Mus musculus: one gene and its partners. The protein of the gene in region 1 purifies or fractionates together with the protein of each later gene. This does not show direct contact. Links are inferred from orthologs where the notes say so. Each region holds a gene or a part of one and is shown on either strand. Other genes may lie near its edges. The genes, in order: Smarca1, Pole3, Bptf and Cecr2.

Evidence for each region.
Region 2: the proteins of Smarca1 (region 1) and Pole3 purify together in Homo sapiens (affinity purification with mass spectrometry; 3 studies listed by BioGRID and IntAct, with this or other methods). This does not show direct contact. The link is inferred for Mus musculus from reciprocal best matches to the Homo sapiens genes SMARCA1 and POLE3.
Region 3: the proteins of Smarca1 (region 1) and Bptf purify together in Homo sapiens (affinity purification with mass spectrometry; 4 studies listed by BioGRID and IntAct, with this or other methods). This does not show direct contact. The link is inferred for Mus musculus from reciprocal best matches to the Homo sapiens genes SMARCA1 and BPTF.
Region 4: the proteins of Smarca1 (region 1) and Cecr2 purify together in Homo sapiens (affinity purification with mass spectrometry; 3 studies listed by BioGRID and IntAct, with this or other methods). This does not show direct contact. The link is inferred for Mus musculus from reciprocal best matches to the Homo sapiens genes SMARCA1 and CECR2.

Annotation. Positions count from the first base shown.
Region 1 is NC_000086.7:47,852,581-47,860,326, reverse strand, and holds part of Smarca1 (probable global transcription activator SNF2L1), read left to right. Parts: intron 1-1,949; coding exon 1,950-2,071; intron 2,072-5,608; coding exon 5,609-5,761; intron 5,762-7,599; coding exon 7,600-7,732; intron 7,733-7,746.
Region 2 is NC_000070.6:62,521,810-62,529,180, reverse strand, and holds Pole3 (DNA polymerase epsilon subunit 3), read left to right. Parts: upstream 1-4,166; 5' UTR 4,167-4,184; coding exon 4,185-4,250; intron 4,251-4,345; coding exon 4,346-4,431; intron 4,432-4,744; coding exon 4,745-4,863; intron 4,864-5,070; coding exon 5,071-5,237; 3' UTR 5,238-5,383; downstream 5,384-7,371. Other genes in the region: 4933430I17Rik (uncharacterized protein C9orf43 homolog), read right to left, coding at 3,303-3,363. UniProt on the Homo sapiens protein: Accessory component of the DNA polymerase epsilon complex. Participates in DNA repair and in chromosomal DNA replication.
Region 3 is NC_000077.6:107,127,941-107,136,251, reverse strand, and holds the start of Bptf (nucleosome-remodeling factor subunit BPTF), read left to right. Parts: upstream 1-4,104; 5' UTR 4,105-4,329; coding exon 4,330-4,978; intron 4,979-8,311. UniProt on the Homo sapiens protein: Regulatory subunit of the ATP-dependent NURF-1 and NURF-5 ISWI chromatin remodeling complexes, which form ordered nucleosome arrays on chromatin and facilitate access to DNA during DNA-templated processes such as DNA replication, transcription, and repair.
Region 4 is NC_000072.6:120,750,949-120,758,694, forward strand, and holds part of Cecr2 (cat eye syndrome critical region protein 2 homolog), read left to right. Parts: coding exon 1-57; intron 58-1,691; coding exon 1,692-1,821; intron 1,822-3,576; coding exon 3,577-3,614; intron 3,615-3,700; coding exon 3,701-3,792; intron 3,793-4,568; coding exon 4,569-4,695; intron 4,696-5,600; coding exon 5,601-5,989; intron 5,990-6,617; coding exon 6,618-6,743; intron 6,744-6,866; coding exon 6,867-7,683; intron 7,684-7,746. UniProt on the Homo sapiens protein: Regulatory subunit of the ATP-dependent CERF-1 and CERF-5 ISWI chromatin remodeling complexes, which form ordered nucleosome arrays on chromatin and facilitate access to DNA during DNA-templated processes such as DNA replication, transcription, and repair.

The DNA of each region.
Region 1 (7,746 bases):
AGAAGACATTGTTGAGTACTTACTTACTCTTTGCCAGGAATTCTCCTCTAGTCTAGGAATGCAAAGATTACAATGATGGCTTTGCTTTGGAGAAGCTCACAGTGTAGTGAGGAAGAAGAGTTGCAGTTCGATGTGCTAAGTGCACTTCATCATGCTGTTGAGAAAATGGGAATTGGGATCGTCTTTACAGTGATGATATTGGAAGTGAAGACTGGAGTTTGAAAGCAGGAGTGAGCCATCAAAAATGCAACAGGTGTGCTTGTCTAGGGCAGTGAAACAGGGACCACAGCGCAGGCATTTATGGGATGTAATGTAGTGTGGCATTTCGTGAATTTGGTAAGGATAGATACTGCCATATTATGCACCATTATGCACCAAATTATGGAAGGTCTTTAAAACCATACTTCAAAGACTTTTATTTTGGATATAGAGGAGTTAAAGAAGACTTGATGATAGGAAGTAACATTATTAGATGTCAGGAGGATAACGCTGGAAGCACTCTGTGGGAATGAGAGAGTAAAACCAGAAGCCAAGGTGAAGATAGTTGCAGTAATAATCCAGAGAGAGATCATATGGACCATTGTAGATCCTTGGGACAAAGAAAAGGCAGAATATAAGTCATGGTAGTATATGTATAAGATTTAAAAAAAACATTATTTATTTGTTTATATCCCAAACGCTGCTCCTCTTCCAGGTCCCTCCCTCACCAAGTCCCCTCCCCTGATCCCTCCTTCCCTTCTCTGAGCATTAGGTTCCCCCCTGGGTATCCTCTCACCCTGGTACATCACGTCTCTGCCAGATTAGGTGCATCCTTTCCCACTGAAGCTAGACAGGGCAGCCATGAAGACTGAGCTACCTGTCTGCTACCTATGTGCCAGGGGGCCTCATTTCCAGCCAGTGTATGTTCTACCAACAGAGTTCAGATTCTGAGAGCTCCCGGGAGTTCAGGTTTGTTGTCTTAGTTGGTCTTCCTGTGGAGTTTCCCTCTACTTCAGGGGCTTCAATCCTTCCCCCAACTCTTCCATAGGTGTCCACAACCTCTGTCTAATGTTTGGCTGAGGGTCTCTATATCTGTTTCAGTCAGACGCTGGGTAGAGCCCCTCAGAGGACAGTTATGCTAGGGTTCTGTCTGCAAGCATAACAGAGTATCACTAAAAATGTCAGGGATTGCCCATGGGATGGGTTTTGAGTTGGGCTGTATATTAGTTGGCCCCAGGGGCCCAGCCTGACTACAGGAAATGGCCTCTACAGGTTTCACATCCGTAATGTTAGTCTTCTTGGCAATGACTCCTGGGAAACTCCCCCATCCCTGGTCTCTGGGCCTTCCTAGCGATTCTCCATTTTCCCTCACCCCAGTCAGCTGTAGATTTCCATTAATTCTCCTGGGCCTCTCCCCATAACTAATCTTGACCCCCCATTTCCCAACCTCTCCACTCTCCCACCCAGTTCCCTTCCTCCCTTTCCTCCCATGACCATTTTGTTTCTCTGAAGTGTGATTTAAGTATCCTCACTTGGGTCTTCCTTCTTGTTTAGCTTCTTTGGGTCTGTGGGAGTGTACTGTGGGAATCCTGCACTTTATGGTTAATGTCCACTTATAAGTGTATACATTCCATGCATTTCTTTTTGGGTCTGGGTTATATCACTCAGGATAACATTTTCTAGTTCCATCTATTTGCCTGCAAGATTCATGATGTCTGCAAGATTTTTTTTAAGACCTAAAGAAAACCTTTTAGTTTAACAAATGATAATTTTGCGTAACATTCTTTGTTTGTGTTGGCATGTTTATATGCCATATTATTTAGATTGTTTATGATGCTTTATTTTCTTTTTGGCTTTCAAGGTACCTGAAATCATTTGCCTATCTTAACTGCACACAGATAATGTATTTCATTATATAATTTTCATACTTTACACATGTTGTGTAACTATTTTCTGGTGAACTATTTTAGGATCAAGAGTTCTCATCTTTAGCCAGATGACTCGACTGTTAGACATTTTGGAGGATTATTGTATGTGGCGTGGTTATGAGTATTCTCGACTGGATGGACAAACCCCACATGAAGAAAGAGAGGTGAGGACAGGACAAGAAAGTGAAGCAAGACGTCAAAAATTAGCACTCAGTTGCACAATGTTTCTTTACTGTTGTTTTCAATTTTGGTCTGCTCTACTGCTCAGTGATACTGACTTCCTCACTGCCACCATGATCTTTCTTCTATCATCACTCTTCCATACTTAGTTTCCATTCCACTGATTTTTCCCCCCAAATCATCCTAGACTCTTCAGAGATATGCTTTTCTAAGAATATTATCTCTATTGGCCACTACCCCAGTTGATTACTGTCTCTCAAACTGACACCCCGACTTCTGATTATATGTTTCTTTTCTTTCTGAATTTGTGTACCATGGTAGACCCTGGCCATTTGTGGAGTTTAGTAGTGGTCATTTGGATGATTTATGATTAACCAACTCTAGTATTGAAGGAACAGTCTTGACTGTGGAGGGCTTTTGTAAAAATGAAGTATGACAAAATAAGTGTAGATACTTATGAGTTTGGGATTTTAGGTGGTAAAATGTTGGTTTGTAAGTATGAATAAGTACACCTACCTAGCACCCAGTGTGTTCTTCATATTTTGAAATTCTTGTAAGTCTTTAGGGTATCTATCACAAAAGTCATGATTGAAAGGCACTTTAAACCCATTAAATCACTTTGTGGATGGCTTTGCTATTTCTTTCTCTCTTTTCTATGATCCTTTAGCTCTCTTTCTCTCTCTCTCTCTCTCTCTCTCTCTCTCTCTCTCTCTCTCTCTCTCTCTCTCTCTCTCTCTCTCTCTCCTCACATTATAGGCAAATGAAGAAGATTTTACAGTATAGTGGAAGTACCCAGAACTTGGTTTGAAGACCTGATTTTTAGCACTAACACCACCACTTTCTAGTGGCCATTTAATTCTATAAACCTCAGTATCTTTGATAGTATCACAAAGATAAAATTGGTACTAATACTTCTTCCTGATGACAGTGTGAGGGTTGGTGGCTATAATAGGTACAAACAGTTTATATCCATGCAGTGCACTGAGTTCTGTGTGACAGGACATTGCACACAGGTCTTTCTGTTTGTTTCAGGACACGTTCTCAGGCCACAGGAATCTCAGCTTATGTTCCTCTACTTCCACAGTTCCTTCCATTGACAAGACTTTCTGTCTCTTATGAACACCCTTATTGAAGCCTGGCTATCGCATTCTTCAGCTTTGCCAACAGCACACAGACTTTTATGTTAAGGCTTTTCTGCTACCTATTAAAGGAAACAGTTATGGTAACTTTTGTACATAACCGAATGCTTAAAAACTTCAATTATTTCCCACCTTATAGCTAGAAGTTCTCTGAGACAGTTCTTTCTTGAAATTTTTGTTGACTTAGTACTGAGAACCCATTTCTTCATAAAGCATAACACTTATTACTGTTCAAGATGAATGCCCTTTTTTGCTATTATGAAAAGGATACCAAGGCAATATTTAGTAGGTATTATCTGGCCTCAAAATGCCTGTTGTCACTCCTGACCTATTTCCCTATTCATTACCTAGCTATATGGAAATTCTTGTGTTTTTAATTTTTTTTAATTTTTAAATTTTTCTGTTGTTTCTTTTATTAATTAATTATTTATTTTATTTCATTTATTTATATCCCAAATGTTGCCCCACCCCCCCTCACAGAGTTCTTGAATCCTCCTCTTTGTGCATGTGTGTTTTTCTTTTTTAATCTTCAAGTATTATTCTTCGTTCAAAGATTTTGAATTACAGGCATCACATTTGAGTACAGAGATGTCAGACCCATTCTTTCCTCTGGGAGATGTCTTGTTTATATTGCTATTCATATAATCATTTCATGTCTTTTTTACATTTGATTCTTTGCTCTGTGTATAAGCAGTGGAGATTTTTCCTCTCCTCTATAGTTCAGACATTTAACCTTTCCCTATGGGAAACTAACTCAGCTAGTTCTGCCTCTGACCATCATTGGACTTAATTGGTTTCACTTTTATAGGGAAAGGACTTAACAGTTAGCAAGAAGCTAATATAGGCTAGGCACCCAGTGGTTCTCAATGATTCTCCCAATAATCTGAGTCAAGGTACTGATAAACTTGTGCCACATTAAATTGTGTCTCAGAGGAGTCAAAGGCTTGTGTTTCAGATGTGGATATATGGCTGAGTTGTACTTCACTTCCAGGTTTTTGCAATTTTCTTTACACCAGGGTGCCTGTCATCAAACCTTTTTGTGTTCTGTACTCCACGGTATCATGTTCTACTGACTATAGTAATGCTAGGCACCAAGTCTCACTAGAACTTAGACCATCTTTTTCTATTGCATTAAAAAATAACTGAGCATTTTGTGACTATATATTTAATATACGAGTACTGAGAGATTTACAAAATCAATTATCTCTGGAAAATCTTTATGAGAAATAATATGTAACAAGTTGGTACCAAACTTTATATATGTGCTATATATAAAGTTCAGAATATTAGTACTTTTAGTCAGGATTATATTGCTTTTTATCACTATAGTTTTAGGAAAATATTTAGCCTTAATGATGTACTGTACATAATATGTCCCGTTATTGCTGATGATTTAGGTTGCTTCCAATTTTTCACTGTTATAAATAATAGTACAGTGAAAGTCATTATACATATATCTTGTGCACATCTCTGATATTTTTCCTTAGGATAAGTTCCTGGAAGTGGAATTATTGGGTCAAAGGGTATGAACAGTATTAAGGCTCTCAGTGCATGTTGTCAAGTTGCTTTCTAGCAAGGTTGTTTCAATGTACACTCTCAGAAGCAATGTCCCTCTGCTCCCTCATCAGCTTTGAGCATTAATATTTTGATTTAGCTTTAACATGTCATTATATTGTCTGTTTGCATCTGTTTGATAACTAGTGAGAATTTAACATTATTCTTGTAGCAGTTTTTGTATATTTGTATTTATTCTGTGAGTAGAAATTCTTCTCCTTTCAGGTTCATTGTTTTATTGGAGACAGCATTTTCCTAATTAATTTCTACATGAACTTTGTATAGAGGATATTGACAATGTATTAATTTTAAAGATTCATTACTAAATATTCCTGGACATGTCATTCCGATTTTCTCAATTATTTTTCCTTTGTCATTACACTGATACAGATTATCTTACTCTCATTTGTATTTCTCAACTTTTCTGTCTTGTTTATCAGTCCTCAGAATGATATTGACATTCTGATATGTTTCCCAAATATACATTTCAGCTTTTAATTAATTGGAATAGTTTTACTATTATTTTCAAAGGATGCAAACGAATGATTTGCTTAATTAAATTTATTTGTATGATTGTTTTATGTTTGTCTCTATTGGTTAACCCTTGCAAATTTCATGTATAAAGACATATTTTCTCCAGCAACTTACACAGTAAGTATAGATAAACAGTGTGGAAGATGGAAGAATATTATAAACTGTTAGGTTATGAAGAATTTTATATACAAGTATAAAAGTATTTTCTGTGAGCATGCTAACTTTTCTCTTTCTTAAAATTTGGAATTTAATTCAATTTTTCTCTTTTTATATTTCTTTATTAATTAAAAAAAGGAAGCGATAGATGCCTTCAATGCTCCAAATAGCAGCAAATTCATCTTTATGCTGAGTACTAGGGCTGGAGGACTCGGAATTAACTTGGCAAGTGCTGATGTGGTCATCCTATATGATTCAGACTGGAATCCACAGGTTGATTTACAAGCTATGGTTAGTAACATTTAATGCTATCAGGAAATCATTGAACCACAGAATGTTATTGTTTACATAGAACAAAGATAATGCGTTATTACAGTATAACAGTTTTGGAGTGATTTTTGTAAAGGTTAGATAGAGTTAAAGTTGCTGAATTAATTGTGAAAACAAATAAAAAAATAAACGCTAACAGATATGCTTCAAATAAAAGTGTAAAACTTACCTATCTATATCTAATCTATACCTATATCTATATGTATATCTAATTTGTATATAACCTATATCTATATCAGCTATATCTATATCTAATTTATATCTAATCTATATGTATGTCAACTTTTTCCTATCTTGAGTATTGAGGAGGCTTTCTGAGTTTATTTTAATGAGAAGGATAAACAATCTCATTATTTTGCTTAACAAGTGCCTATTAAAATCTTTAGGTCAGGCATGATGGCTTTTAGTCCTAGCACTCAGAAACAGAGGCAGGGGGCTCTCTGTGAGTTTGAGGTCTACTAATGAGTTCCAAGTCAGCTGGGGCTGTATGGCTGGATCCTGTTTAAAAAACAAACAAACAAACAAACAAACAAACTTTAGTACTGAAATTCGAAAACGTTAGATTTTAACGTCTGTAATAAAATAATTGCGATGAATAGGTAAAAATGGAAGAAGAGAAAGTTTGCTGTCTGTGTGTGAATGTGCATGTTGCGTACATTTGTGTGGGCGTGTATTCCTGAGAGAGCACATGTGGAAGCCCGAGATTGACATGAGGATGTGTTCCCCAACTGCGTCTCTCTCTTATGCTTGAGACAGATTCTTTTCCTGAAGCTGGAGTTTGCCACTTTGGCTTGACAGGTTGGTGAGTGCCCCCAGCCCTGCCCCAACTCCCAGCCTCAGTGCTGGAGTTGTAAATGAAGGGCACCATGCCTAGCTTTGATGTGGGTGTTAGAGACCTCAACTTAGGTCCTAATACTTGAACAGTAAGCACTTTACCCACAGAACCATCGAGTTGTGTGTGTATGTGTGTGTGTGTGTGTGTGTGTGTGTGTGTGTGTGTATTTAAAAGAATGTTTTATTTTACCTTTTATCACAATCTGGTCACTCAGAGATTACTGGTTGGAGTTTAAAGTTTTACATATTTGTACAGTATTGAATCCTCTCTGAAAGATTATTGCCACTTGGTTATTGGATTGGATTGTTTTCCCATTTACTATAGGGACTGTTTTCAAGCCTGTTTCTTTGATTCTCCCCACCTCCTCTCTGTTCTCATTTGCTCTGTCAGTTTTTGCATTTTAAACACACTCTCCACATGCTTATATTTTGCCAGAAGTTGCCACCTTTGCTAATTGTAAACCATTGGAGCAATTCTAGAATCTTAAAATTATGAAGATCTCATTAATATTTATGAGCTTTTACTATGTATCTCAGAATTGCCTTGGTAAGCAGAAAGAACTGCTTGATGGTGAGATAAAGCAGACTTTGGTAGCATAGCAGCCCTTGCTAACTTCTTTGTTCCTTTAGAAACTCCTTGCTCATCTGGAGATGTTTGCATTTAGTGAATTAACGTTGCCCAGTAACTCAGTGCAGAAGCCTTAGCTGCTGTTTGTCCTCATCTCAAAGAGGCTTTGCCTTATGACATTCTGGAAGTTTCCCAGTAGCAGCACAGCACGCTTCAAGATTTCTTTGTTCCCAGAAATCTTTGGAAATCCTTAACATTTATCATCCTCCTTTCAGAAGTGATAGGTTTAGAGAGATTGAAGTCTGAATTTTATTTTCAGATATTTATAGCATTGTAGTTATATGTCTAATTCTTGTCTACAGTCTCTAGCATATTACAGTTGGACTTTTTCTGTTAGGATCGGGCACATCGCATTGGTCAGAAGAAGCCAGTACGAGTCTTCCGTCTCATTACAGACAACACAGTGGAAGAGAGGATTGTAGAAAGAGCTGAGATAAAACTGAGACTTGATTCAATTGTTATACAGCAAGGTATTTCTATGTAG
Region 2 (7,371 bases), on another chromosome or scaffold:
GCGGTGGTTCACACCTTCTGTAATGTCAGTTCCAAGGGACTGGATACCCTCTTCTGACCTCCACGGGCACTGTCTGTGTGTGGTACATATATGCAGGCCAAACATAAATTTTATGTGATACGCATAAAGTAAAATTTAAAAATTTAATTGTAGGAACACACACACACACACACACACACACACACACACACACACACACACACACACACCAACAATTAAAGAAAACAAGAGGGAAATAGCAAGACACCAGGGATCTAAAGGAAGAAATGAGGGGCTTCTGATTAGGAAGGGAAGGGAAATAAATACAGGAGGAGGGAGGATAAAATAACAGGAGAAATAGTCACAAGGAATCCTTCTTTCACTATCTACCTAAAATACCTACAATACACTTAAGTCAGTATATAAATGTCCATATACAGTTTAAGTGAAATTCCCCATCTGAGTGCTCCCTGTAAGAGTCATAGACCGGCTAACAAAAACCACCACACCAGGTATGAGAAGCTCTCTCTTTAGTTGTTGGTCAGGGTTGTCCAAGAGACTCCTAAAACATTATAGACTATTACTATTGCCCTTGGTTACCCGCAAAGGAGGAAAGTAAGTCCCTATTACTGAAGACACAATACACTTCAGACAAGGGGTTCAGATTAGCCTGAGAGCCTCCTCCCTGGGGACTATCTTTCATGGTACCAGAAGGTGCTACTCAGGTTTCCAAAGGAAAGAAGCAACCAACAGTACTACCCAGCTATGGCCCTACAAACCACATCAATGACCAGCATGGTGCCATAACTCTAAGGTTGCAATAGAGGCATGCATACCTTGGTGGGAACCAACAACTCTCTAATAGATCTTATGACCCTGCTCAACATGTGAGAAATGTACCTGGTCCTGGAAGCCTTGTCATCTACTCAGGGCTAGTGACGTCACGGATCTTAAAGGGGAACCTACAACCATCCATTTACTAAACCGGGACAGTCCCTAACTACACTCTAAACATTTGTCCTTCTACCTACAGATAAGTGCAGTCCTCACCACTCATCAAGGAACCTTCTCTTTGCATAGGACAGAGATCATTACTGAAAACAAAGTCCAATCAGAATGCAGTCACAAAGCCCAGTCCCTACGGATACATTGGCAACACAGCTCCTGCAGCTAAGGCACAGGGACTACTGTAGAAGAAGGGGCAGGAAGATGAGAAGAGCCAGAGAAGCAAGGGGTTTGCAGTGAGACTGTAAATATCAGAAGCTACACTCATGAAGTTCCACCAACATAACTGCCTAAACACGCGCCGAATAAGGGCACGTGAACAACAACATGCTGACAGAAAAGAAAAGCCTCAACCCTAGATAAAGAACCACAGGCAACTAATGAATGCCAAGATCTGAAAAATAGTCTCACCCAGGGAAGACCATACAAGTTGATTATCCAATACTAAATGGTCAGCCCTTAAAACATACATACAAATAACATTATTCTGACTGGACAGATTGTACCTCTGTGTGTGTGTGTGTGTGTGTGTGTGTGTGTGTGTGTAACAACAAAGAAAAAGAGGCAATGAATTTGAAAAAGGGAGGGGTACTTGAGAGGGTGTGGAGGAAGAAAAAGGAAGGGGAAATGATGTCATTATATTATGATCTCAAAAATGTTTTAATTATTTTTGTAAAAATTATAGAAACAGGCTGGAGAGATGACTCAGTGGTTAAGGGTACTGACTGCTCTTTCAGAGGTCTTGAGTTCAGTTCCCAGCAACCACATGATGGCTCACAACCATCTGTAATGGAATCCGATGCTCCTTTCTGGTGTGTCTGAAGACAGCTGCAATGCACTCACATACATAAAACAAATCTTTTAAAAATATATTTTAAAATTGTAGACAAATCATATAAGATATAAACTTCTGTGTATGAAGTTATAACAAATACCCAGTAAATAATATCAGGCTGGGGAGTTGCCTCAGTAGCTAAAACACTTGGAGGGCCAAGCATGAGGCCCTGAGTTCAAATGTCCAGAACTCACATAAAACCAGGCACAGCAGACATCTGTAATCCCATTGCCCCTACTTAAAACAAAGCAGAGAATCCTCTGAAGCTGATGGGCTGCCCTGTCATCAGATACTGTGGACAGCCAAAAAGAGACCCTGTCTTAAGGTAGAAGGCAGTGCCCAATTTCTGACCTCCACACCAGCACCATGGCAAGGGATGTGAATGTCCATACTCACAGACATGCAAGTACATACATTATACACACAGGGAGAGAAATAAATAAAGTTATACTAAACTATTATCAATCCCTCTTTTAAAGATGTTATGCAGTCACTACAACTATCTTATTCCTTTTAACATATAATTCCATTGTATTCATTTCTTTGGTGGGCATGGGTGCCATGGGGCACATGAGAAGGTCAGCAGGAAGGCCATCCTGAAATGAGCCCAGAGACTACACAGTCTTCAACCCAAAAGTGTCTTCATCCACTGAGTCATCTCACCCTGTCCCCTTTCTAACTTTTAAGGACATTGTCGGTTTCTTCTTCTATTCAACACATTTACTGACTGTCAAATGAGTGGACCTGTTTGGGGCGTAGAGAGTAGCAATAAACAATCTCTCTGTTCTAAACAGCTTCTAATTTAAATTAGAGATAGGAATCTAGTGGCCTGGGCTGCACCTGGCCTACTTAGCTTGGCAAGCACTTTGAGCCAATGTTTTAAAAACTGAAATGGTCCAGAATGTTAGCTTTCTGGCTTCTCTCCTAGATCACAAGGCCTGACAGCACCAGTTCTAGATAAATAGTGGCTGGAACTAAGGCTTATGACATCTTTAATCCAGGCCTGTTCTAAGTGCAGAGTTCTTTCCACCAGAACAATCCCTCAGTATTGTTCATCATCCCAACCCTGTCGGGTTGTTTTTGTTTTGTTTCTCCAAATAGGGAAAAACTTCTTTGTAATGTCCCCATCAAAAATTTTAAAAAAAACACGTTTTGGAACAACATGTTTTAAAAAGAAAGAAAGAGAGAGAGAGAGAGAGAGAGAGAGATATGAAGGAAGGAAGGAAGGAAGGAAAGAAAAGAGAAAAGAAAAGAAAAGAAAAGAAAAGAAAAGAAAAGAAAAGAAAAGAAGGAAATAATCCAGCATTAGTTCTCAGTAGGAGTATTTTTTTCAGTACTTAATTATACAACTTAAAGCAACATTGAAAATGTAAAATCAAGTGATGATTTTTGATAAGAAAAATATACAATGAATCACTTAATGATTTAAAAAATACAACTTTAACTTGGGTTTTTGAATGAGAATACAATGCATTATTCTTACAATCAAATGATTCTTGCGCTTTCAGTACCGAACCAGACCAAATTGAGCTCCGAAGTCTCATCAGGCGTCTTTTGATATTGCCCTTGTTACTGCTGTCCTAGTAAAGTAATGGCATTTTTTTAAACGAAATTTTAGATTAACACTTATCCTTAATATAATTATCACAAAGTTGTGAAGGGCATAAGATTAAAGATGGACAATACTACTGCATCAATCGGTGCAATAGAATTGAATGAAAATCTACACTGAGTTCCGAGCCAAAAAAAAAAAAAAAAAAAAAGGGCGGTGGGCACTCAAGTGTCAGTCGTTCGCGATTTTGCGGGATCAAAGCAGATTCCAAAGAGTTACTACGTTCTGAGCCTCTGGAGACAATGCTGAGATTGCGAAAGCGCGTTAAAGCTTTGGCCCCGCCCACCTCTTATAGAGAGCCCCGCCCACTTGGCAGTCCGAGTCCCGCCTCTCCCGGCTCAGTCTACGCCTACCCTTTCCAAGCTAGGCACCAGGCCACACGGTTGCCTAGCAGCGGCGAACGGCACGCTGGGAGAATCGACGGAAACCTCAGAGAGTCAAACTTAGTGTGGTGCGAAAGCTCTCGCGATGTGTAGTAGAGAAACAAGCCTGGAGTGGAACGTCCGGGATGCCGTGGAAGCGGATGGAAATTTCAATGGTCCTAAACCATTGCGACATGGAAAGCTGGGCTACACTGGGGACTTGTGGCGGGGCTGATGTAGCAGAGAGGCTGTGGTGCGCAAAGCACTGTGGGACACTGGCAACGTGGGGTAGGACGGAAGCCTCCGAGGGTCATATTTTAGCGACGCGGGAAGTCCAGACACCAGAACTGTCTGGAGACCTGAGCAGGAGGGTCGGGCCCCAGCGGAGGCAATGGCGGAGAGGCCCGAGGACCTAAATCTGCCCAACGCCGTCATCACCAGGATCATCAAGGAGGCGGTGAGCCGCTCGGGCTGGCGAATGGGTCGAGGGCGGACGTGTGGGCAGAAGGTTAACAGAATCCGCGTGTGTGTTCATCTCCACTCTCCTCGCAGCTCCCGGACGGTGTCAACATCTCCAAGGAGGCCCGAAGCGCCATCTCCCGCGCCGCCAGTGTCTTCGTTTTGTATGCCACATCCTGGTGAGCTGAGCAGAGGCTGAAGGGAGGCGCAGCGGGATCCTGACCCCGCGTTCGTGGCCTGGAACCTACAGGCCCCAGTTCCCTGCCTCAGTAGAGAGCGACTTACGGCTCTCTTCCAGTTGTCACACATTCTGGAGCAGGTTAAACAAGACGGTTACCGTAGCCCTTTGTATGGGAAGGGGATGAACTGAGCCATGCCACACACACACACAATCCATTCATCTACGATAAATACGGCTTTCCCACCCCATTCCTGGGGGTCATGCCTCCACCCACTCTGACAGCTTCTGAAGGGCGTTGCTCTTTCTTCCAGTGCCAATAACTTCGCAATGAAAGGAAAGCGCAAGACTCTCAATGCCAGTGACGTGCTGTCAGCCATGGAAGAGATGGAATTCCAGCGATTCATAACACCATTGAAAGAAGCTCTAGAAGGTATCCACGTACTCTTCTGTCTCTTAAACCATATATAAAAAAAATGCTCATCAGTATCAGTGCCATTAAGTCCCGTTCAATAATACAGGACTGGTCATAACTCCCCTCTGTTTAGTTGGTACCATCTCGGGTATGTGATAGGGGCCTGGTTATTCCACCTGTGCCTCGGTTTGTCTAATTAAACCATAATATCCTGCTTCCTTACAGCGTACAGGCGGGAGCAGAAAGGCAAGAAGGAGGCTTCGGAGCAAAAGAAGAAGGACAAAGACAAAAAGGATTCCGAAGAGCAAGACAAAAGCAGAGAGGAGGAGGAGGAGGATGAAGAGAGACTGGACGAGGACGACCAGAACGAAGAGGAGGAAATAGACAACTGAATGGAGAGAGTAGGCAGACTGTGGCGTGGTGGAGGGGACCCTGAGATCCTGAGACATGTCTGTGTGAAGGCTTTCCCTGCAAGGCAGAGCCATCTTCGGCACTGGTGCCTGAGATCAAAATAAAAGCTGACCAGAAAGATCAAAAAGAACTCTTCCCAGGCTCAGAGCATCTGAGTTACAGAAACCGGTCATGCGTCATCAGTCTGCAGGTTAGGATGTTTTTGAATAAGCGATTCTGAGTGACTACATAGTTTGGTATTGCTTGTCTACTTAAAGTATATGGCTAGCTAGTTTCTGATCCCATTTCCCTGCCCCTCTGAATAAGTAATAACATCCATGTTGCCTGCAGTGTTCCAAGTCACAGAAGCACTAAAGGCTCAGGGGGAAACAATGGGGCTTTGAGCCTGGTCACCCAGTTTGACTGTACAGTAGTTGACCATAGGAACTCGTGCTTAGAATGGCTGCTCTCTAGGAGATGACTAAGGAGCTGTGAGCGAGCGAACGAGGAAATGTCTTCACCTGATGGTAGCATTACTTACTTGGTGTCTGGCTTTCTAGACTTACTTAGCTTTGTAGTCCTCTAGTGACTGTAGATGCTCAGTCGTCTGGGGTGGCTGCACTCATAGGACACACACTCTTTAATTCTGAGTGTTGATTAGAATCTGTCAAAAAAGGTGCCAATTCTTAAAAGCAGGGGCTTAATCTTGGAGGTAACTCAGTGCCTGCCATGGTAGGTCCTAGTGCTACCTCCTGGAAGGTATAAAATCCCAGATCCATCTCCCAGACTTATGGCTGCTGCTTTTCATTCCCTGGGCTCATAACAAGTTCCAGAGACTTTATTTCTTCCAGGCACAGCCTGTTCTGTCTCCATCTCTCTGGCTTCTGCTTCCCAGCCCGGCTTTCTCCTCCTCTTACTTATTTCATCTTCTAGTCTAGGGACTCTGATAACATATGTCATATTCCAAAGTGCAAGGTCCTCAGATTCCTTAGTCCTAATCTCCTGCCTTCTAAAGAGAGTTGAGAACACCTCTGAACCTTACGGTAAGAGGAATGGTGCTCAGGAATGTAGCACCACTGCTGTGGCTTCGAACGTGTCTGTTGGCCTTTCTTTTTCCCCATTGAGTGCTCCAAGCACTTTTTCCTGTCTTAGTTGTGCACTTGAGGCTGACAGGTGATGTAATATAGTTGGACACTGTTTACTAGTAATACAGGGAAGAGTTTGGTGAGAGTGACTGGAGACTGTTGAGAAGATTTTAATGCTTTCTACAAATAAAGAACATTCTTGTTTAAAATGATGACTCATACAATGTGCTTTTGCAAAGGACTCACCAAGACCCCCCTCTCTCTCCCCCTACCCTCACACATAGGCACACAGTCTTGTGTCTTGCATTACCAGCAGGTGAATGAGTATCACAAGTTAAGGGCACTGTTCTTAACCACAGCCAACATATCCTGAGATTCTCCTGGTTACTTTGCATATCTCACTAGCTCCCACTTCTGTTTGTTTGTTTGTTTTGGTTTTTTGAGACAGGGTTTCTCTCTGTAGCCCTGGCTGTCCTGGAACTCACTCTGTAGATCAGGCTGGCCTCGAATTCAGAAATTCACCTGCCTCTGCCTTCCAAATGCTGGGATTAAAGGTGTGTGCTACTACTGCCCGGCTAGCTCTCACTTATTAAGTTCTAAGTACTTTCAAGTATTCTCATCAAGCAACATTGCTATTGCCTCTACTAGCTCTTTTTTTTTTTTTTTTTTTTTTTTTTTGGTTTTTTCGAGGCAGGGTTTCTCTGTGTAGCCCTGGAACTCACTTTGTAGACCAGGCTGGCCTCGAACACAGAAATCCACCTGCCTCTGCCTCCCGAGTGCTGGAATTAAAGGCGTGCGCCACCACACCCGGCTATTAACCACAGCTCTATGTTCTCCAGTACACACAGTTCTCAAGTCATAAGTAAAATTTATAAATCAAAATTCACCAAGAACTGCAGTGGTCCTTTGGTTAATAATAGGCCTTTTCCTTCCCAGAAGAAACATTGTTTCTTAATTCCCAAGAGCACGGTGCTAGACCTACCCTTCAAGGCCCATTTGTAATCCTGTGACGTCCTTTGAACTCAATTTCAATTGTATGTACTAAGTACCA
Region 3 (8,311 bases), on another chromosome or scaffold:
TTCCAGCCCTAGATTTTTGTCTTACCGGGTCCCACTGTATAGCCCTGGCTGGCCTAAAACTCACTGTGTATCATTGAAGTCATAGAGCTCTGTCTACCTCTGCCTCCAAAGTGCTGGTATTAAAGGCATGGGATACCATGTCTAGGAACTTAAAAAAAAAAAAATCCCCCCCTCCCCCCGCCCACATCTATGTGTGTGATATATGCATTTGAGAACAAGCTAGAAGAGGCCATTGTATCCCCTGGAGCTAGGGCTTAGGTGGTTGTGAGCCACCTGCTGTGGGGGATGGGAACTGAACTCTGGTCTTCTATAAGAGTAGCAAGTGCTTTTACTCCCTGGGCGTTTACCCAGCTCTGAGCTACTCTCTGCCATAACAGTGCATTCATTATACATTGTAGCACCTGCCTCAGAATCTGACCTTATAGTGACCTGGCATGAGAGATCCACTAACTTTATCATCTATGGCACTGGCTACGAGTGCTTAGCTTTCTTTCTTTGTGCTGGGACTCAGATTTAGACTGGTGGCCCGCCTTTTCTCTGGAACACTAGGGTTCTTAGATAGATGGAAGGTAATGGCTTCAGAGGTTGGATTCTTTTTAGATTCGGAACCCACAATTCTAAAGTTCTCTGTATCCTTCTTAAGAATTTCTTTCCTGAGTTCAAAGCCAGCCTGGTCTACAGAATGAGTTCAAGGACAGCCAGAGCTATACAGAGAAACAAACAAACAAACAAACAAAGAATTCCTTTCCTGGGCTGGAGAGATGGCTCAGCGGTTAAGAGCACTGACTGCTCTTCTAGAGGTCCTGAGTTCAATTCCTAGCAACCATCTGTAATGGGATCCCAATGCCCTCTTGTGGTGTGTCTGAAGATAGCGACAGTGTTCTCACATACATGAAATAAATAAAATCTTAAAAAAAAAGAAAAGAATTTCTTTCCTGATTAAATGACCCAGAGTTACTTTTCCAAGACTGACAACTAAAATGTCTATGTAATGCTAAAAACATCTCTCTCTGTATATATGTGTATGTATATATATATATATATATATATATATATATATATAGTATAGGTCACAGGTTACAAACCTTACTGTAACCAGAAAACATATCATATGTTTGGATCAATCTGCAGAATTGGGGTTTTTCCGTCTGTCTTACTCTGTAGTACAGGCCACTAGCCTTAAAGCTCAAGATGCTGAGGTCAGAGGACCGTTTGAGGCCAGGAATTTGCACCAGACTGCACAGTACTGTGTGGCCATGATTAAAGAAGCAAGTAAACAAACAAACATCAGAACCCAACACTGGCACCCATCTATGTCCATCAGTGAAGAGGTTAAGGCAGGAAGAATAGCAATTTCAGGACAGCTTGTACTGCACAGTGACACTGCTTCAAACCAAACCAAACCAAACCAAACAAAGAGCTATACCTGGTGTCATATGCCTGTGAAGTAGAGAGAGAAGGGTCAGGAGTTCAAAGACAGCTTCAGCTACATAGCCAATTTGAGGCCAGCATAATACCCTATCTCAAAACAAGTTAACATTTAAAGATATATTTGTTATCTTTTTTTTTTTTTTTTTTTAAAAGATTTATTTATTTATTATATGTAAGTACATTGTAGCTGTCTTCAGCCACTCCAGAAGAGGGAGTCAGATCTCGTTAAGGATGGTTGTGAGCCACCATGTGGTTGCTGGGATTTGAACTCTGGACCTTCGGAAGAGCAGTCGGGTGCTCTTACCCACTGAGCCATCTCACCAGCCCCTATATTTGTTATCTTTAAAAAATCTTTGACAGCCGGGCGTGGTGGCGCACACCTTTAATCCCAGCACTCGGGAGGCAGAGGCAGGCGGATTTCTGAGTTCGAGGCCAGCCTGGTCTACAAAGTGAGCTCCAGGACAGCCAGGGCTATACAGAGAAACCCTGTCTCAAAAAAACCAAAAAAAAAAAAAAAACTTTGACATTTATTTATTTGTGTTTTTTTAAAAAGATTTATTTATTATTATATTTAAGTACACTGTAGCTGTCTTCAGATGCACCAGAAGAGGGCGTCAGATCTCATTACGGATGGTTGTGAGCCACCATGTGGTTGCTGGGATTTGAACTCAGGACCTTCAGAAGAGCAGTCGGTGCTCTTAACCACTGAGCCATCTCTCCAGCCCTTATTTGTGTTTTTGTGTGGGTTTGTAGACTTTGAAGAGAAATTTTTGGGAGCTGGATCTCTCCTCTCTTTATTTTTGAGACAGTATCTCTGGGTCGCCCTTTGCCTCCTGAGTGCTGGGATTAAAGGCTTGCTGTTATACCCACAAGGTTGTCTTCTTGTGGGTTGCAGGGATTGAACAGAGGCCAAAAGGTGTGGTGGCGAGGATCTTTACCCATGAGGCATCCTGTTTGCCTGTCTGTTAAATAACTTTACTCTGTCTACACACACACACACACACACACACACACACACACACACACACGATATATATATATATATAGATAGATAGATAGATAGATAGAGGCATAATGGCACATGTGTCACCCCACAGCCCAGAGTTTGATGCCAGGCTAGGTCACTCTATCTAAAAACAAATGTACAAACACGTTTCAGATAAAACCTTTATAGTCTCTTGAAAAATATAGAAGATTTGAAACCTGCATGGAGGGACCTGTCTGTAATCCCAGAGTTTGTGAGGCTGAAGCAGGAGGTTCACAAGTTTGACAGCAGCTTGGAGTTCATAGTGAGAGTCTGGCAAAACCCACCACTGCAGGGTGTGGTGCCATATACCTTTGCTCCCAGCAGAGGCTGGTGGATCTCTACTAGGAGCTGGAGGGCAGCCTGGTCTACATAGTGATTTCCAGGCTATCCAGGGCCTTACAGCGAGACCTTGCCCTAATAAAACAAAATAAAACACCCACTATCACCAAGGAATATCAGAAGATCTGCTTATTTGGGCCTGCATTGCTATAGCTGCAGCCTTTGTTTACCCAAGAACTCTTGTGGCTTACTTTCTTTCCTTTGGTGTCTTATGAGGTCCCTGTGGGTAAGTTTACCACTCTCAGAGATCAACCAAAGTGAATACATAATAACTTAGTTGGCAATTAGTAATTTTCACTTCATTTCTATTCACCGAACTATATTGTAATAAGTCAGTTAGTTAGTGGGCTGAATCCTATTAACGATTTTTCTTCAAATTACTTTTTCTGTTCTCACATCTATTAATAATCACTCATATAGGTTCCTTAAACCTTTCTTTTCTTTCCAGAGTCCACCCCGAGGACCCTGTGTTGAGCCACCTCAATTTAGCAACATTTGGTGCATGTGCCTGCGATTTCACTTTAGTGACTAGCACCCTAGGTCAAACCAAGACTGGTAATTTGTCAGGTAGACATTATTTCCAGGTAACACAAACACATAACTTTGTGAAGCCAATTCTAGACAGGACGCCATCCTTCCTATCCTTAAGTTCTGGCTGAGGTGTGGAAGTTCGTAGCTGGGAAGAGAGAAAGGTGCCTGGAGGCCGCTAGGAACCACGCTCTGGAATTTAACCCCGGGCTCTGAGGGTGGGAACTCAGGAAAGTCAGTGAAACCACGCTGGGGGTGTGGCTCCCAGCGTGCATTCCTGGAACAACTTCAGGACCCTCTAGATCCAAGCCTTTGGGAGCTCTCTATTGGGACTGACTTAGCTCCAGCTCCTGTACCTGCGTGGGTGGCTTTGCGTAGTGACTGCCCCCAGTCTGTAAGTCGTGCCTCTACGCGAGACGCCCCTCTCCCCTTTTTTTGCATTAGTTTCCCAAAAGGACCGGCGACTTGGGAGGAAAATTCCCTGTTTTCCGGCCCCGGTTTGGGAGACACGCATTGAGGTCTCCCTAAGACCTCAGCTGAGGGGGAGGTGGTCTCCCAGGAGGAGACCCCAGCCTGGGGGGACACCCCACGCTACCCATCTCGCTCCTGCGCCGCCGCCGTGCAGCCGCGCAGGGGCGCTCCGGGGCCTCCCCGCCCCCGCCGCGCCGCTCCCGCGCTCCCCCTAGCGGCCGCCGCGCCGCCTCGCTCTGTCCCAGGCTCGTCGGGCGGCGCAGCTCACGTGACCGCGCTCCGGGCCTGCGGCCGCTGTCGGTTCCCCCAGTCACCGAGCGAGAGGGAAGAAACAAGATGGCGGCTGCAGGCGATCCGGAGCGGGGCCCCGGCAATTCGGACTGAGCCTTCTCCCTCCACCCCGCCGCTGCCGGGCCGCGCCCCTCCCGCCCGGACCCCGGCGCCCTCCCCTCCCCCTCGGCCCCGGCGCCCCCCGCGCCCCTCCCCCACCCCTTCCGCTCCCCCCCCACCCCCCCGCAAGCCGCGGCTCCGACATGAGGGGCCGGCGGGGCAGGCCGCCCAAGCAGCCCGCGGCTCCTGCTGCGGAGCGCTGCGCCCCGGCCCCGCCGCCGCCGCCGCCGCCGCCACCACCGCCGCCGCCACCGCCGCCGCCGCCGCCGCCCGCCTCCGGACCCATAGGGGGGCTGCGCTCGCGGCACCGCGGCAGCAGTCGGGGCAGGTGGGCCGCCGCCCAGGCTGAGGTGGCGCCCAAGACCCGGTTGAGCTCGCCCAGGGGGGGCGGCCGCAGGAAACAGCCGCCACCGCCACCGCCGGCCTCCGGCAGCAGCGCCAGCGGCCCGGGCCGGGGGGGCCGAGGAGGCGGGGGCGGCAGGACGGGGGGCGGGGGCGGCCACCTGGCCCGGACCACCCCGGCCCGCCGCGCCGTCAACAAAGTGGTGTACGATGACCACGAGAGTGACGACGACGACGAGGAGGAGGACATGGTCTCGGAGGAGGACGAGGAGGAGGAGGAGGATGGCGACGCCGAGGAGACCCAGGATTCCGAGGACGAGGAGGAAGATGACATGGAAGAAGACGACGATGACTCCGATTATCCGGAGGAGATGGAAGACGACGACGACGACGCTAGTTACTGCACGGAAAGCAGCTTCAGGAGCCATAGTACATACAGCAGCACTCCAGGTAACCACCCAGGCCGCCGGGAGACTCCTTCCCCACCTCCTCCCTCCCCCTGGCTTGCTCCCTCTCCAGTGCAGTGCATCCTGCTTCCTAGCTCCCCCCCCCCTTCCCGGCCTGTCCCCCACGCGGAGGCCACGGCGCGTCTAGTGACAAAAAAAAAAAAAAAAAAAGAAAAAAAAGACAAAAACAAAACTAGATTTGCAAGAGGAAAGAGGCGCATTGTTCAAAATGGAGATTGCATTGTTGCAGTTTGCAGGCCACAGACTCGTTCGCTCTTCTCCCCCCTCCCTCTTTATCCCCTTCAAAATTTGTGCCAAGTGCGGTGGCTCCACCAGGCAGGATTGAAACTTTGGCACACAAGTATCCATTGAGTTCGTCTTTCTCCCCTTGTTTTGGTACGAGTATTTTATTTATTTATTTTGCGATGAAAGAAGCCTCCTGCTTTGCAAACCGTTGCATGTCTAATACGTTTTGTTTTAGATTTAAAAGAAAAATTATCTGTTCCTTAAAAGAGAATTTCGATGGTGGTACCACACCTAGACGTTCTCCCTTTCCTACACCCTAGTTAGCTAGTTTGGTAACTGTTTTGGAGGAAGGATTGTTGTTCGGTGAGCTTGGGAGCTTCCTGGGGTCCTGAGCGCTTGTTTGTGTTCTTCGAGTGAGTACTCATGGTCGCGTGCAACAGTTGCTGGTAAATGCTGATTAAAGAGCAAAGCAGAAAACTAGACCAAACCAAGTTTGGCAATCCTTCCGATTTAAAAGTACTCTGGTTAAGTTCCAAATAAAAGTATAACACCACGGGGCCGTGTGTCCTAACCAGATTGATTTTGACTTTGCGTGGGAGATGGCAGTTTCGTGGCACCTGTTGCCGAAGATGTGTGGTTGATCATCTAGGCGCAATTGCCAAAGATGAACTTTTTGAAGTCACGGTATAGAAGTGTCAGATTGGACCCGACAGGACTTTTTCTTGTTATTCTGTTTCTGAGGAAAAAGCCCTTCCTGAATCAGCGGTGGGCTTCATCAGTAGTGGTGAATTCTCTGATGTTTTCTCGAATAATTTCTTGAGGTGGGTCCTGAGATGTGGGTCAAGTAAAAGGCACATGTGCAATTGCTCCTTTGTATTAAATGAATAGTTATGGGGGGGGGGGACCCTTAACTTGTAGCAACAGACTTTCAGGCTTTTTCTTAAGTTTTTATTCACCTGATTGATAAAATTAAGATCTAATTGTAAGGACATTTACAAAGTAAGTGAGGACATATGAGGGTTTTTCCTATGAGAGCCTGTCTACCGTTTTTCAGAGAAGATGAGGGTACTAGGAGTGGTTAAATTTAAGTGTTTTCATTTATAACTGCTTAAGATCCTAACTGCTGCAAGTATGAGAATTAAGCCAGATTAGATTGGTTAACACCAAGTGAAAAAAGCTAGTTTCCTTTGCCTGTCTTGAAGAAGGTTGCCTATTTTATGGGACCTGGAGGGAGGGGCTATCTTTTAGCAAGTTTAATTTCTTGCCAACTTAGTTTAGTGTGTCTTTTATAGTACTAGGTTTTACTTTAAGAAATTACGAGTTGGGCATCTGCATCAAGAGCTCAAAATTGAGCTGAAGACAGCAGTAGTGGAGGAAGTTAGTTTTTGAGTTAGGACTGAGGCATTTTGGCAGGGTAGTTCAGCTAACTTTTTAACTCCTTGAAGACCTGGCCAACAGTTCTGATGAACTGAAGACCATGAAAATGCTGAATTAAACTGCAATTTGTGGTTAGGGATTCTTTTTTTTTTTTTTTTTAATTTATTTATTTACATTGTATGTAAGTACACTGTAGCTGTCTTCAGACACTCCAGAAGTGGGCGTCAGATTTCGTTACGGATGGTTGTGAGCCACCATGTGGTTGCTGGGATTTGAACTGGGGACCTTCGGAAGAGCAGTTGGCTGGCACTCTTAACCACTGAGCCATCTCGTCAGCCCTTTCTTTTTCTTTAAGATTTATTTATTTTATGTATATGAGTACACTGTGGCTGTACAGATGGTTGTGAGCCATCATGTGGTTGCTGGGAGTTGAACTCAGGACAGGACCTCTGCTTGTTCCAGCCCTGCTTGCTCCGGCCCAAAGTTTTATTTATTATTATATGTAAGTACACTCACTGTAGCTGTCTTCAGACACACGAGAAGGGGGCGTCAGATCTCATTACAGATGGTTGTGAGCCACCATGTAGTTGCGGGGATATGAACTCAGACCTTCAGAAGAGCAGTCAGTGCTTTTAACGGCTGAGCCATCTCTCCAGTCCAGCCATTATTCTTCTTGAATGACACAGGCTACCTCTGTGTACGCTTATCCTGTGATTATGGGAAGTAATAACTTTAGGAGTAACTTTTGCTTTTAAACATTCTGTAACTCCTAACAGACATTCTAACATAAAAAGACTGATTGGATAACTTGCTGTTAGTAGGTGGGAAATTTGATAATTCTCTAGTAGGTGCCATAATTTAAATGTTCAGGTTTTTTTTTTTTGTTTTGTGTTTTTTTTTTTTTTTTTTTTTTTTTTGAGACAGGGTTTCTCTGTAGCCCTGGCTGTCCTGGAACTCACTTTGTAGACCAGGCTGGCCTCGAACTCAGAAATCCGCCTGCCTCTGCCTCCCGAGTGCTGGGACTAAAGGCGTGCGCCACCACGCCCAGTTTAAATGTTCAGTTTTTAAGAAACTCAAGTTGGTGTAACTAGGTTTGGATAAACACTTCAACTCTTCCTAACAGCAGACAGTATACTTTTTAAAAAATAACTTTTAAAAAGATGTATTTTCATTGTTTTTTTTTTTAATTATGAGTATGTCTATGTGAGTGAGAGTGGTAGAGGTGTCTGCAGGTAGCAGAGTGAGCTGGCGTTTCAGATGGTCTGAGTGCCATGCGATGTGGTGCAGGGATCTCACACACACTCAGGCCCTCTGGAAGGGCAGCAAGCGCTCCTGTTTTAAACTGTTCTTTCATGTGGGCTGCCAGGCCTTTTCCTTTCTTTATTGGCTTTATTAACTTGAGTGTTTGGTCTTTTGAAACAAATTACTTCTTCAGATGATGGTAAAAGGATGTTACATTTTGTGTTTTTGATTTTAAAGTCTGTCCACTTGTTTTTAGTGAGTATCCATTCTGGGAGTGATTTGCTGAAACCAGGATATTGTGCCATTAGTTTTATAGTTGGTCCTTCTGGAAGGAGACTTTAGGTCAATGTGTATATTTTTGTTTTTTTTGTTTTTTTCTTGGTTTTTTGAGACAGGGTTTCTCTGTGTAGCCCTGGCTGTCCAGGAACTCATTTTGTAGACCAGGCTGGCCTCGAACTTAGAAATCTGCCTG
Region 4 (7,746 bases), on another chromosome or scaffold:
AGATGTTAAAGGAGGAGAGAAAGCGGGAAATGGAGGAAAAGGTCAAGGCAGTGGAAGGTATGTCATGGTTCAGGGTGAGAACTTGAGGCCGTCATCCTTCATCTCTGCTGTTCTGCGACTGTGTAAACGTCCTGTCACTTGTATCCTGTCATGTTTCCTCATCTAAATCCATGCAGCCTTGCTCTCTAAATTCTGCCCAAAGCCAATTGTATTTGTCCTTTCAATGCCCTGCTTTATATTTGGATTTCTGCTGTGTCCTATACATTTTATACAGAATTAAAGAAAGAAAAGACATTAAGATGTTGGCAGCTACTTTCATAGATGCAATGGTATATGCTTAGGGAATGTTTGATGTTGGTTGGTTGATTGGTTGGTTTTGGTCTTTTGGACAGGGTTTTATGTATCTCAGGCTGACATTGAACTCATTTTGAACAGCTTCATGTCTCTACCTCTCAAGTTCTAAAATTATAGATGGGGGCACCACTGCCAGGTTATGTGATGCTTTCTGCCCAGGACTTCCTCCGTGCTATGTAAACACTTTATCACCTGAATTACATCCCTAGCCTGGATCTTCCTGTCATACCGCATGTCAGAATGTTGCCATTGAGATTACCAGTGCCAGGCAATTTTTGTAGAGTCAAAATTTTGTAGACTGCAGTCTTGCTATAGTGAGATTTTTCTTTTGTCTGTTGTTTTTTGTTTTTTAGAGTATATAGGGTCTCCCTGTAGCCATAGCTGACATGGGTGCCACAGTGAAGACCAAACTGGCCTAAAACTCACAGAGATCTACCTCCTTCTGTCTTTCAAGTGCTTATCTATAGGTTTACAACACAAAGAGTAACATGAGTTGCTTTCTTGGCTAATGGTAGCATTTACCAGCTGAACATCTGGATGTCTTCTCTCTGTGTGCCCTCTCAAGACCTTTTCCCTTTCTCTTTCCCTCTCCTTAAGACTTTATTGGGGGGGAACAGGGTAAATAAGATTAATAATACTTAAATTACAAGACACACACCCATGTGTGTGGTCTGATGTGGTCTCATTATGTGGCTCAGGTTGACTTTAATTTGCAGCAGTCTTCCTGCCTCAGCCTCTCAAGCATTCTGAGTATACGTGTGACCACACACCCAGCTGAAGCAGTTTTTTGAAGTGACTTTTTTTTTTTAAATGTCCAGTGAGTGATGTTTTGCCTATATGCATGACTGTGTAAGGATATCAGGTCCCCATTTAACTGGAGTTACAGACAGTGGTGAGCACCAGGTGGGTACTGGGAATCAAACCCAGGTCGTCTAGAAGAGCAGACAGTGCTCTTAACCACTGAGCCATCCTTCCAGTCCCCAAAGTGACATTGTTTTTATACACCCATTCTATATCAGGCAGGTTTATGATAATGAGCAAGGCTATTCCTTTTTTGAAGGATCAGATAGGAGAATCAAGAGTTCATGTCTTGGGTACATAATAAGGTTGAGGCTAACCTGGGGTACACGAAGTCCTGTCTCCCTCCCACCACCCTCTAAAAAGCAAAAGAGTTTCATGCCTAAAGTGACATTTAACTGGGATCATCACAGATTCTGTCTGCTGTGGTACTTGAGTGAAATGAATGCAGTTGCTTGGCGCAGAACTGATGGCTCACAGGTGTCCCAGGAGCAGTGGCACAGGTGCTTACCTGGATTATGTTCGTGTATTCATTATAGATCGAGCTAAGAGGAGAAAGCTCAGGGAAGAACGAGCATGGCTATTGGCTCAAGGCAAGGAGCTACCCCCAGAACTTTCCCATTTGGACCTGAATTCTCCTATGAGGGAAGGGAAGAAGACCAAGGACCTGTGAGTATTTAGTAATAGCAGCTGGCCACCTTAAGCACTTCTCTCTGCAAGCACTTGCCGCAGAGCCCAATGATCTGACTTGTATCCCTGGAACCTACATGTTGTAGGGAGAGGACTGACTGTTGCAAATTGTCCTCTGACACATGGACCATGATGGCTCAGGAGTACATACACACCCACGCACGCAATAAAAAAGCATATTTTGGCCAGGCAGTGGTGGCGCAAGCCTTTAATCCCAGCACTTGGGAGGCAGAGGCAGGCGGATTTGAGTTCAAGGCCAGCTTGGTCTATAGAGTGAGTTCTAGGACAGCCAGGGCTACACAGAGAAACCCTGTCTCAAAAAAAACAAAAAGAAGCATATTTTATGAAAAGCATCTCTCAAACCAGGCAGTGGACATGCGGATATCTGTGTGTTTGAGGTCAGCTCTGGTTTATAGAGCTAGTTCTAGGACAGCCAGAACTATGCAGAGAAACGCTGTCTTGAAAAATCAACTTTCAAGTCACTGGAGTTTGATTCCCAGCACTCACGTGGCAGCTCACAAGTGCCTTTAGCTCTAGGGGAATCTGACACATATACATGGTCAAAAATAAAATTCTTGGTTTTAAAAAGTTAGATGTCTCAGACTGGAGAGATGGTTCAGTGGTTAAGAGCACTGACTGCTCTTCCAGAGGTCCTGAGTGTAGTTTCTAGCAACCACATGGTGGCTCACAACCATCTGTAATGGGATCTGACGCCCTCTTCTGGTGTGTCTCAAGGCAGCAACCGTGTACTCATTAATGCACCTTTAAAAAAAATTACATCTCTCATTTAATCCTTGTAACAAAAAGGCCTGTTTGGAAGGCAGTGGCTTTTACATTTTAATGGTAAGAAAGCATAGCAAGTGTTAGTGGTAGGCCTTAAAACCAGATCTGACTCAAATGCATTGTTTACATACATACTCTTTAAGTGAATCACTACCCTCCTTTCCAGTCTTAGAATCTACTGGCACAGGAAAAGATGGGTTCTTATTACCCCAGCATTTCAATGCCACCAGAATTTACTATTAATGGGAACTTGTTCCTTTGGCATATATAGAATATTTTATATTTGCTTGTTTGGCAGTGCTAGGTATTGAATCCCCAATACTTTTAAGTATTCGTGTTGGCAGTGCTCTAGCACTAAGCTACAGCTTAGACCTACGTTTTAAGACGAGAGCTTGCCATTTTGCTCTCTCAGCTTCCTCAGTGCTGGCATTACAAAAGCACCATCATGATCAGGAAGTATCTTACTTTTTAAAATAGTGGCATTGGCTGTTGTACATTAATACCAGCTAGTCATGAAGGTATGCCAGAATAGAACCATGGCAGGGGAAGACAAGGGTCAAAAAGGAAAGTGCATGCCCTTAATCTCACCACTGGATAAACAAAGGCAACAAACTCTGAGCTCCAGGACAACTATATAACAATACCCTATTTTCATAAAAATAAACTGATATGGTTAATATTCTTATAATATGTTTGTAGTTACAAAGTCATAATAAAGTTCTAGATCATTTAAGCCAGTCTTTCATTGGAGATGGAATTCGTTGTAGGGAATATGATAGTCCTTTTTGCAACGTTCACCATCTACCATCCTTATGTTTCCAGTGAGTTGGGATCAGTATTTGGACTTGCTTAAGGAAAGTAAAAAGCACTGTTCAATCTGTATTTGATCCAAGAAAGCTAAGGAAAAATGGCAGTCACAGTTAAACTAATGTTGTGTTTTGTGGTTCACAGCTTTGAATTGGATGACGATTTCACAGCCATGTATAAAGGTTAGTTGCCATTCTCAGCTTTGGTGTTCTTGATGAACATCTTTCCACAGGAATGTGTCAGTTATATTCTCCTTTTTGGTTTCCAGTTCTAGATGTGGTGAAGGCTCACAAGGATTCCTGGCCCTTCTTGGAACCTGTGGATGAATCGTATGCCCCCAACTATTACCAGATTATTAAGGTATCTTTTAAATTGTACTTAAGCATCTGTATTTTGCTTGGATTCTATATTAGTCATTTTTCCATCATACTGAACAAATACTGATGGTAACGGGCAGCTCTGTGGTGGTAGGAGCTTGTTTTCGTCTTGGTGGCCAACCAGAACTTAGGGCTGTAAATGGCTTGCAGTATAACTTGTAAAACGTCCCCCAGTAATCCACTCCTCCAACTAGGCCCAACCTCCTAATGTTCTGCAGCCTCATAAAGCCACACTACTACCTCGGAGGACAAGTTATTCAAACTCAGGGTTCTAGAACTGTTTTTTTCTCTTGCTTTTCTGTCCTCCTTAATATCAGGGAGACAGACAGACAGATAGACAGACACACATACAAGTGTATGTGTTGTTAGGGTTTGTTTTGTGACAGGACCCCGTGTTTTCTTGGCTGATCTTGTACTCACTACATAGACCAGACTGTCCTCAAACTCAGAAAGATTTGCCTGCTTCTGTCTCCTAAGCAGTGGGATTAAAAGTGTGTGCCAATATACTCCTAGCTATACCAGTCTCTTGAAAATCTAAAATGTCACGATTGCTCTTCATCATAAAAAGTGATTGGAGGCGGCATGCAGTTAATTGGTTTTATCTTGTTTTGAGACAAGGCTTCATTTACTATTACCAAGACTAGCCTGGAAGTCACTATGTAGCACAGGCTAGCTTCAAACTTGTGTCAGTCCTCCTGAGTTCCAGTGCTGGGATTAAATCCACTGTGCCACTTACAGTATTTTATGTTCCATTTTTAGATCCCCATGGATATTTCAAGCATGGAGAAGAAATTAAACGGAGGTTTATATTGTAACAAGGAGGAATTTGTAAATGACATGAAGACCATGTTCAGAAATTGCCGAAAATACAATGGTGACAGTAGTGGTAGGTGGATGAGGCCTTTTTGCTGACTGCACATGCATGTGTCTGTGTTTCAGACTTTACTCTCTTCTCTTTTGAGATGGAGTTGCTATAGTCCAAGCTTACCTTGGATTTTTAAAACAAGTGCACTGTGCCTTATACCCACTGAGATCAGAACAGGCTGTTGGATCCTTTATTTAGATCTTGAGCTATGAATGATTGTCAGCCACCACATGGGTGCTGGGAACTAAGCCCAGGTCCTTTGTAAGACCAACAGTTAATCTCAGATGTGCCACCATTGCTGGTTTCCTATTTTGCCTTAGGACGGCCGACAGAATGTATACCAACAGTCATGGGATTTGTGGTTCTAGTTTCTTACACAGTGTCCCAGGAGTTCTCATTCGGCCTTGTGGACAGAGAAGTCTGGCCTGTGTTGTACTGGGCCTTTTTACCACAGACAAGATTGAATCCACCTTGAATTCCTGCCATTGTGTTTTACATAGGAGATGGAATCTAATGCTTCCTGGATGCTCAGCAAGCACTGCTGCTGAGCAACATCCCTGGGCTTCCTCTCAACTTACCATGCAGCAAAACTTTCTAATGATCCTGAGACTTTTGTCTTGATTCATGCATCAACACAAAAATGCTACAGCCTATAAAACAAAGCAAATTCAATTATAGTACATACTAGTTTGAGTAACTTAGTCTAAAGAATTAAAATTTCACTAATTTGAGATAACATACTATAGTTTATGTCACAGCCATAAAGCCTTGAGCAGAATACTTATAGAAACCAGATCTTCATATTGTATCTGTAGCTTTGCAGTGTAATATTTTCCAGAAGTAGCTTTCCTTATTATTTTCAATAATTGTCTTTGTGTATAGTAAAATATGTACCCTGGTGGTCAGTCTTCTTGTCTTCCTTCTAGAGTATACCAAGATGTCTGACAATTTAGAGCGGTGTTTCCATCGGGCCATGACAAAACATTTTCCTGGTGAAGATGGAGACACAGATGAAGAATTTTGGATCAAAGAGGATGAAAAACGGGAAAAAAGAAGAAGTCGGTCTGGTAGAAGTAGTGGAAGCCATGTTTGGACGCGCTCCAGAGACACAGAAGGGTCGAGCAGGAAACAGCCACCAGTGGAGAATGGGGGAAAATCATTGCCCCCGGCACGCCGAGCTGCCTCCTCAGGGGACGATCAGAGTAGGAGTTCCATACAACTCCCTCCAGAGGTGGGCACATCACATGGCCAAGGCTTTTCTCGCCCCCTGCACTGTGGTAGGGTGCCTAGCCACGCACCCCCTTTAAACCAGATGGTAAGGAAAAAAACTCACCTATATATTGTTTAAACGTTAAAATTTCATTATAAAGAGCTGGAGATGTAGCACATATGAAAACGTGTGTGTTTGATCCCCAGCACAGCATAAAAGTGAGTGTGGTGGTTGTACACCTGTGATGTTTGAACTTAAGAGATGGAGACAGGCCAGATGGTGATACAGGCCTTTAATCCCAGCACTCGGGAAGCAGAGGCAGGACTGTTAATACAGAGAAGCCCTGTCTTGAAAAATGGGTGTGTGTGTGTGTGTGTTTGTGTGACACACACACAGACAGGCAGATGAGCCAGAAGTAGTTCAGCTACACAACAAATTTGAGGCCCACCTGGCTTCATGAGACCCTAGTCAAACATGTATAAATAAATAATTGTGGGCTGTACTTGTATCCAGAATGCCTAAAATTTCTCTAATTGTGGTTCGGAAGGTGATTGTTTTTGTTTTTCAAAACAAAATGATAAGTGTTTTTTTTTTTTTCTTGGAGAGAGAAGCTGCTTTGAGATTGGAGGCAGTTCCTTGCCATAGGGCACATTAATAGCAATCCTTAGGGAATGACTTGTTTTCCTTGATTGTTCTTCCCTCACACCCTTTCTGCTTTACTCACTGCCTTCAGAGGCCAGCAGCACCAGGAACATTTGGCTCTCTTCAAGGATCAGATCCCACCAACTTACATGGCTCCTCTAGAATCCCAGAGGCTCCCCCAGGAGAGCCCTTGCAACACCCACCCTTTGCTATACAGGTAAGCAGTCTGCAGAGAGACAGCTGGGACGGTTCTGCAGCAATAATTAAGAGGTAGCATCTTTCAAGGTTTGTTTTGTTCTGTGAATTCACATTCTTCTCTTCTTACCATTTCTGTTATCAGGCTCCAGTTGGAATTAGTAACCATCGGGGATCCCTGCTCAGTGCTCCAGACCTTTCCAATATGGGGTCACATGTCCCATCCTTACAGCTTGGGCAGATGAATTGTCCCAGTCAAGATGGAAACATGTATCCACCAGCTCCATTCCAGGCAGGATTTATTCCTTCTAGGCATGGTGGGACTCCAGCCCGACCCCCAGACTTTCCTGAAAGCTCTGAAATTCCTCCCGGTCATATTTATCATTCATACAAGTATCTAAATCGAGCACACCCTGCTGTTTGGAATGGGAACCATGGTACTACAAACCCTGGACGTTTGGGGCCAGATGAGAAGCCCCACCTGGGGCCAGGACCCTCTCACCACCCTCATACCCTTGGTCATATGATGGATGGCCGAGTGATGAGACAACCTATCCCACCAAACCAGTGGACTAAACAGTCAAGCTTTCTACCTCATGGAGTTCCTTCCTCGGGGTATATGCAGCCACCCTGTAAGTCTGCTGGACATCGTTTGCAGCCACCTCCAACTCCAGCACCAAGTCCTCGATTCAGAGGGCCCTCCCAGGCCCTCCGGGGGGCACAAGGAGGGGAATCCATGATGGACAGCCCTGAAATGATTGCCATGCAGCAGCTCTCCTCCCGAGTCTGTCCCCCAGGTGTGCCTTACCACCCCCGCCAGCCCACTCCTCCCCAGTTACCTGGTCCCTTTCCGCAGGTAGCTCATTCAGCTTCAGTCTGTGTGTCGGCGCCCAAGCCTGCATTGGACAACCCTGGGAGTACACAGGAGATGACTGAAACACACGAGCCCGAGGAAGACCCAGGTAATTTACAGTGCCTTCTTATTTTTTCCCCTGACTTTTGTGTGTCATTTCATGAGTAATTTT